Linked DNA regions of Arabidopsis thaliana. The protein of the gene in region 1 interacts with the protein of each later gene in a pairwise test. Each region holds a gene or a part of one and is shown on either strand. Other genes may lie near its edges. The genes, in order: MYB94 and AT3G56520.

The links.
Region 2: the proteins of MYB94 (region 1) and AT3G56520 interact in a two-hybrid assay, tested with the Arabidopsis thaliana proteins (one large-scale study listed by BioGRID).

The regions. Positions count from the first base shown.
Region 1 is NC_003074.8:17,538,740-17,543,548, forward strand, and holds MYB94 (myb domain protein 94), read right to left. Parts: upstream 2,569-4,809; 5' UTR 2,297-2,568; coding exon 2,164-2,296; exon of another isoform or gene 1,996-2,163; coding exon of another isoform or gene 1,881-1,995; coding exon 1,751-1,880; intron 1,627-1,750; coding exon 888-1,626; 3' UTR 550-887; downstream 1-549. UniProt on the Arabidopsis thaliana protein: Transcription activator involved in the activation of cuticular wax biosynthesis under drought stress. Binds directly to the promoters of genes involved in cuticular wax biosynthesis. Transactivates WSD1, KCS2/DAISY, CER1, CER2, FAR3 and ECR genes.
Region 2 is NC_003074.8:20,946,522-20,949,837, forward strand, and holds AT3G56520 (NAC (No Apical Meristem) domain transcriptional regulator superfamily protein), read right to left. Parts: upstream 1,211-3,316; coding exon 1,042-1,210; intron 945-1,041; coding exon 586-944; downstream 1-585. Other genes in the region: NAC064 (NAC domain containing protein 64), read right to left, coding at 2,390-2,779, 2,869-3,137, 3,224-3,316.

The DNA.
Region 1 (4,809 bases):
CATAAATTCCATTTTCAGCCAATTAATTTACTAAGCCCGAAATTTATTAGAGACTCAAGCAAAAAAAAAGTCAACGAGTTGGGTGTGAGACAGTGTGACATTAAAATATGTGTGATGTCTCTAAGGTAAAGCATCTCTACTTGGATCATGCTCGTTGTGCTCAACACAGGCATAAGTCAAACAAACACTCACATTTTCTTCTGCATTAAATTCACTACTTTTTTCTTCTTTTTTTGCCTCTCCTGTTAATTAGCAGCTTTATTTTATTAGTTTTACATAATTCTATGAATCACTAGATTTTGCCTCCTATAATCGGATACAAAACTAGATTTTGCTCTTTAATTTTCTTTTAGTAACAACTCATTTTTTGTTTGTTTAATGAAATATCTCACCAGTAAAAGAACCTATATCTTTATTATAGAACTTCATTATTTAGTACATTAAACAGTTTAAAGTAATCTTAATCTATATAATGAATGAGGAGAAAAGTTTGTTCTACCTACTGATTGAAGTTTATGGAAACATAAAATCTGAAACCTAACCATATCAATACTAATTAAGTGACATGAATTTGTATAACCAAATGAGTCACACGATTAAAAAGACGTTACATTAATAAAGATGATGTACACTTTTGAGTTTCTACTACATAGAAGATATCATCTCCACGTCGACAAAGATTTAAGGAAAAAATAAAGAGTTACTACTAAAAAGATAGAGAAAAATGTGTTAAAACTTAAGAGTTACTACTAAAGACTAAAATCCCTAATTACTGCAATATGATCATAATAAGGATTGAAAACAAAACTAAAGAGTACTTAATTATACAAATTGTTTATAACTAAGCCTCGTGGTTCCTCAAGCAAATCGTCAAACTTTAATGCTTTCTAGAACAACACTTCCTGACCCTCTAGTGACATGTTATTGATGATCATATCGTGGCTTTGCTCATCAAAGAGCCATTTCTCGAACAAAGAAAGAGAGCCTTGTGTAATTAGACCATTAATGTCATGGTCTATTAGTTTAGGCTTCTCTTCAGCTTCATCTATGGAGTTGAAGCTGAACAAAGAATGGTCAATCCCTTCTCCGTCTCCTTCGGTTGTGCTAGGGCTCGAAGCTGCCGTGGTGATAGCCATCTCGGTGGCTGCAACCGGCAAGGGCACCGAGGTCTTTGGTGTGTCTTTCATAAAATTCTGAAGCAAACGAGCAATGTTCTCAGCACTTGAAGCATAGACCCCAGATGGGTATGGATTAGTGTTTCTCGTGGTGGTGGTGGTGGTGGTGGTAGAGGACGAAGAAGATGATGGACCATAACCAAGATCGGGAATAGAAAAATTAGTTGGGTTTTGTGGTTTGTCAATAGACAAGGCATCACAAAGAGCTTGTTTAGCCATGTTGATATCTGTCTGAAGCCTTCTCTCCCATTGACCTTTACTGGAGTTGCTGCTTTGATGTGAGGTAGTGTTTTTGTTTGATATGGAGAAGTCTTTATTATCAAGGCCATTGTTGATAGTACTATCACAAGAATCATTCATCTTCTTGAGCTTTTTCTTCAAATGAGTGTTCCAATAGTTCTTTATATCATTGTCTGTCCTTTCTGGAAGATATGATGCTATAGCTGCCCACCTTCATAATTATTTGGTCCCCAAGTTATTTAAAGTTCAAAACCTTATCTTTATGCATACCCAAAAAAATAAAAGAATTTGTATACTTTTATAGATCATGTGCATGTGAATATGTATGTATTTACCTGTTTCCCAAAAGAGCTTGAAGATGGAGAATCATCTTCTCTTCATGCTCGGTGAAATTTCCACGCTTGATCCCAGGTCGAAGATAATTAGTCCACCTCAATCTACAGCTTTTGCTACATCTCCTCAAACCTAAATCACCACAACAACAACAAGATAATTTCATTAAAAGAGTAATTAATTTGTGATATATGGACAAAAAAGCTGGTGCCATAAATCGGATATTATTACAATTTTTCCTTTTCATTAAATGATCATACCAACCAAGTGGAAGCCAGAACAAAACAATCACAAACCCAAGAAAAAAACAAAAAACATTAAAGGGTACTTCTGAAGAGTATAGGGGTTAACAATTGAAATTAAAATATTACTATTGTTCATTAAAAAAACATAATATTAAGATAGAAGAAGATACCTGTGTGAGTAGGCACAGATCTCCAGTTTCCAGGACCATGTTCTTGGATGTAAGAAACCAAGATGATATCTTCCTCTGGTGTCCATGGTCCTTTCTTCACTCCAATCTTGTCACAGCATGGTGGTCTTCCCATCTCTATCTTCTCTATGTAAATATCACTTTGTGATTAGGGGAAGAATGGAACGGTTTGTGGTATGAGCAGAGAGAAGGACTTTGATGATGATCAGATATATATATTGGTGAAGAACGGTTTGTGGTTTTTTGTGGCTTGAGAGCTTAGGAAATTGTAGGGTTAAAGAGTACTTAAGACAAAGAGGTACAAGTGGTGGTTGGTTTTGTCTGAAGATGTGGAGAGAGAGCTTGTGTATATTTATACAGCCAAAGAGAGAGAGAGAGAGAGAGAGAGAGAGAGAGAGAGAGAGAGAGAGAGAGAGAGAGAGAGAGAGAGAGAGAGAGAGAGGTTTAAGCTGAAGAGTGAATTAGTAGCAATAATAATAGAGTTAAAAGTAACAATAATGAAGAGTGGGGTTTTGCTATCAAAGAGTCAACATGGACAGCCAAATGCATTTACTCTCTTGCTCTCCAAAGTCAGCCTCCTCTCTCTCTCTCTCCACCATTACTCCATGCTTTCTCTCTCTAAAATTAGCCTACTATTTTCTCTTTGTAATTAGTCATTTCATATTATCGCAAATAAACCCTTAATTTTGTCTCCACACGAGAACATATGTGCATGTATCATTTTATTAGGTGTTCATCAATTTGATTGGGTTTAGACTTCAAAGACTTTGATTGCATTTATGCATGGGTCCACAATGAGAGTGAAATGAGTATATAACTTCTATTTATGTAATTAAACCTTCTAATTATACATTTGGAAAAGCATACATGAATTAAACAATAAAAGGATTTTCATAATATGAATTTGTAAATTTGGATTTTCCACTTGCATGCATATATGTGGCATGATTTTACAATGTCCTTCCTGCGTTATTGAGAACCAACCGGAATTTAAACTAATTATCTGTCTCTCTAAAAATATTGATATTTTGTGAGTTATGTTGTGATCAAATTGGTATACATATCATATGAAAACTATTACATGATCTCAAAATATATAAAACTAGTAACCACTTAATAAGTCGACTTAGCATATATCAAAATTGAGTGAACTTAACTAAAATCAAACCAAATATTTTGGTTTCAATCCCGTCAAATTCTCATGAACAATCAAATATAGACATCAACAAAACACAGAATAAGTAGCAAAATTTATTATTTAAAAGAAGAAAAAAAAGAAGTTAAATTTGAATTGATGCGAATTTAGTCGAACATGTAAAAATGTTAATTAGTGGTGTCAGGTGTGACTTGTGAGCTTTTGTAGGTAATTGAATTGAACGGTTGATAAAAGATAATCGAAACACATATCCCCACATTCCCAATAAGGAAAATGTCCACACATATAGATCTTTTGGTGATGTTGGACTTGTTGGTATATTTAGATCGATAAACTTTTTTTTTGTAAAACAATAATGATTGTAATCTCATACACTAAGAATTGGTTTAAAAATCAGTTTAAGGATTTCAAAAACTTTACAAGAAACGAGAGGAATGTTGCAAAGCGCGTCGTCGTTGTGTATTGAGCTTTTAAATTGGATAGGAAATAATATTATACGTATCTAAATAATTAACATAAATATTATATAATACAATATGAAAAAATCGTCTGAAGATACTACGTACAATAGATACAAATTCAACGGACCGTAGAGACTTCATTGAACAAAATAGGTTGAAACCCCATACGCCACGTCTTTTTGTATTACGTAACCCATGTCCCGAGGATGATGGTATTAATAATTTTGACTAAAATCGTCACATAGACACCTCTAACTAGTTATATTTATTTGTTGTTAAAGTATAACTAGTTATATTGTAATACTGAATATCAGAAATTGAATTGTATATTTCGAAATTATTTTACGTTGTTGGTATCGTTTATAATATTGATTAGAATTCAACAGAAAACTTCTTGTCTGGTTCTTAAGGTTAAGATTATGCTTTTAATTTTACCGAGGCTGAGTATCATGCTATGCGTCGATTTCTTTTTATATAAGAATTAAGGTATTTGAAGATAAGAAAATATTTTCAACATTTTAGGTCTACATTTCAATTATTGTAGACCTAAGTACATTTTTTATAAAATAATGATATTCTTAGCAAAAAGAAAAAAAAAATTGTATTAATATAGTATATATGCTTCGATATAAGCAATTGAGTGCACTCATTCATCAAGTGAATTGGCAACTAAAAGTTATTAGTATGCGAGTTTTAAACCAACGTTTCGTTTAGTTACAAGATTAGGGAAGCAATTTTACTCTCAGCCAATATATGTCCATGTTCACCCAAAATCTTTGTAGGGGTTGGTTAACCCAAAAAACTCCTTAGTAATATTCCGATGAGTAATATTGATTGCTTTGCATTTTTTAGAGGGTAAAGAAAGGCATAGAAACTAAGTCAGAACTTTTGGGTAACAACGTGAATAAACCAAGAAGAGAGAATCCTTAGCTAAAAACAAAATTGTATACATCTTTTTACAATTAATTTCCTTTTGGCGTCAGTATACAATTAACTAAACTGTGCTTATAT
Region 2 (3,316 bases), 3.4 Mb from region 1:
TCATAAAAATCTCTACTTTTTTGTCTTCGTTTCTGAAGGAAAACAGGAAACTTTACCGAAAGTGAGAAAGAAAAAGAAGCTAGTGCCGTCGGCGAACAACTAGTACTCTCCGTTCGGAAGAAGAAGAAGACGGTGGTGTGTAAAACTTCGTTCGCTTGTTTAGGGTTAAATAAATCCGGTTCTTGTAACGATAATGTACAAAACCGGTATTCTTGGTATCCGGTTATCGTTATTTCGGTTAATCAGGTCAAATCACATTCGGGTTATCGACTTATGAGTAGTCTACAGAACCTGAATTCTGAACTTTGTTGCTGAAATGTTTTTGTAAAACGATATTGTAATGTTTTGATTAGTGTTAGAGAGGCTAATTCTATGCAACTGGCCCAACTCTCGTATTAAAAGTTTGGAGATGTTACTTATTAGTGAAAAAGTGAGAATGTTTTAGATCTTTTAGTCAAAACTCTTTACAATCCAACCAACATGTATATATATATATATATATATATATATATATATATATAAAGAAGAGAAGCTAAGGTGCAGAGAAGGAACTGGAGGTCATATAGGATCAAAAACCTTTGCAGTCTATTCGGATTCGGAATCGATTGTGGACAAATCAGTAGTTTCGGGTTTAGTCTTCTTGCCAAAAATATGGCATAAAACCCAATCAGTATTCGCTACTGTTTGTGGGAGGCTAATTTCATCCATGAACCAATTATACTTTAAAGCTTCTTCATCATCAGATAAACAAATATTATCAGATTCTTCTTCTTCTTGCGCAATAAGAGTAAACCGACGCTTAATACCAACTAATGCATCATTATTCTTTGGATCTAGCACATTGGTTTCTTCTCCGATTGGTGTCCAGAGATTATGAGAGTTACTAGTAACTTGGTTGTCACGTTTTCTGCAAAAATAGTACCAATGTTCTTCACTTGGATAACCTGAAAGAAGGAAACAAAGAAAATTCAGTTGGCTCTTTCACAGGATGATTAAAGATGGACATTGTCTTTATAAAAGTTTAGATCCACGAATTCTCACCAGGCAGATCATGCGGATGTCTTGAGAAGATATCATGACACTCTTCAGGTATCGTACGAGCTTTCATGGGTTGTCCTAAAGCTTTTTTCTTCAAAAAATAGTTTGAAATCTCACAGTTTGTAGAACGAAACCTGAATCCTACGGGCAAAGCTCTGTGTGTTGGCTCCATTCTTAGCAAAAAAAAGAAAAGAAGAAGGTGAAATTGTGATTGAAGCAAACTGAAACTAGAATTCTAAAAGCTTGTTTATTGATCGAGGATGAATAAAAGTTGCTATGGTGAGCTACCTATTTATAGATCCCATTAATAAAAAGTAGTCCTTTTTGTTTAATAATTAGTAGCTTAAAATTAGAGTAAGTAAACGTTTTTTTAATTTTATTTTTTTAATAAGATACATAAAGTTTTGTTTTATTTATCTTATTTATAATTTCTTTTTTAAATAGCTTTTTTAGTTATCTTATTTATAATTTTTAATTTGTAATTTCACACAATTATTTTTTATAGTTTTAAAATTAATAGAAGGAAATTTTCTTTTTACAAATGTCAAAATCTAAGATCAATAGATTTGACACATGTCACAATCTTATGAGTTACTAACTTTGAAAACAATATTTTATATGAAAATAAAAGATAGTTATGAAATGAAAATTTTTAATACTTTTTCCCCCATAAAAAGACTTGATTACATTAAGAATAAAAGATCAGTAATAACTAATAACTATTTAGTACTTCAACAAATTGAAAAAGTAGTTAGTCAAATAAATAAAGATTGATTTTCTATCTTCAAAAATCAATTAAGAAAAGGAAAAGGAACAAATTATATTGAATAAAAGATATTGATTGTATTGTAGTAAGGAAATATAAATTGCAAATAACTTTCTGTTTTGAGAAGTGATTCATTTAATGGGGGCAGAATTAATTTCTTAAAGAGGGCAGTCCATTAAAATATTAAAAATTAGAAATTTTGGGGGTGGCACTGTTGCGTGCTTATAAACTAAACAAATGTTTAGAGGAGGAAATGAAGAAGAAGAAGACACCGGTGTTTTATATTTGTATGTGTTAGTTTAAAACGGTAAGAAAATGTTGGACAAATTGTGTATAAATGTTTTATATGATCAAGGCATCAAAAGCAATAAAGACAGGGAGAATTATCTCTGGTTTTGAAAAACAATGCCGATAGCAACTAATGAAATTTTAGCAAAAAAACTAATGAAATCTTCTCTCTGTTTTCTTTCTGATAACAAAACTCATAAAGGCACAAAAGCTAGATCAGTTAGTTTTCTTTTTGTTTTTGGTGTTTGAAAACAAAAACCAAAATGACAAAGTATGAGCAGATTGAGATCAGTTAGTTTAATGTTTTATCATTCCTTCTGTGTCAAAGAAGCCTTCAAACAAACCATAATTGTTGAATTCTTCATCTCCATCCAGTGAATGTGGTTTAGTGAATTCAGCCAAGAAATCTTCAAAATCGTCTGGGATCATCACTGGTTGCTGTTGAAAGCTGATCAACTCAGAAAAGTTATCAGGAAAAGGCTGCGGCTGATGATGTTCTGGAAGTAAACAATACTGCGGTTGATACACAATATCATGAGGCTGTTGCAGCTGCAATTGGTCTGGTTGATTCAAATCCAGCTGCTCAACGTCTTCTTCTTTCTTCAGCTTCTCATTCTCTGCTTCCTCAGCTTTCTTCTTCTTTGCTGCCGCTGGAGTCAGATAAATCTTGCACAAAGCATGATCCACCTATACACACCAACCAAAACAAAACACAATAAATCCAAAAGTCACGAATCCTAATAACTTGGAATCCAAGTAAAGACACTTACCCTCACCTTCTCGTTGTTGTTATCATCAGAAGACTCAAACCAGTACTCTTGCATTAACCAATCCCCTTTGACACTATTTGATTGTTTCCCAACATAGTACTCTAGTGAAGTCTTGTAGCCGACTATGCCATTTCCAGCGTTGATCTTTTGGGCAGCTACAGTTGCGCTCCAATATCCTCCATTGTCGACACGTTTATTACTTCTTCCAGCCTTACCGGTCTTGGTCCTCTCCGATATATAGAACCAATCTTTATCATTACCCTTCTCATATTTCTCTGTATTGAATTCAAAAGAACAGAGCCATTTATATACATAAACCACGATTAGAGAATAAAGAACAGAGCCATTGACGGAGACAAACCTGAAAGATGTTGTGGATTTGACTCGTAGATGTTCACACGATGGATAGGAACATTGAGCAATGAGCATTTATTGCCTTGCGAAAAGGGTTTCA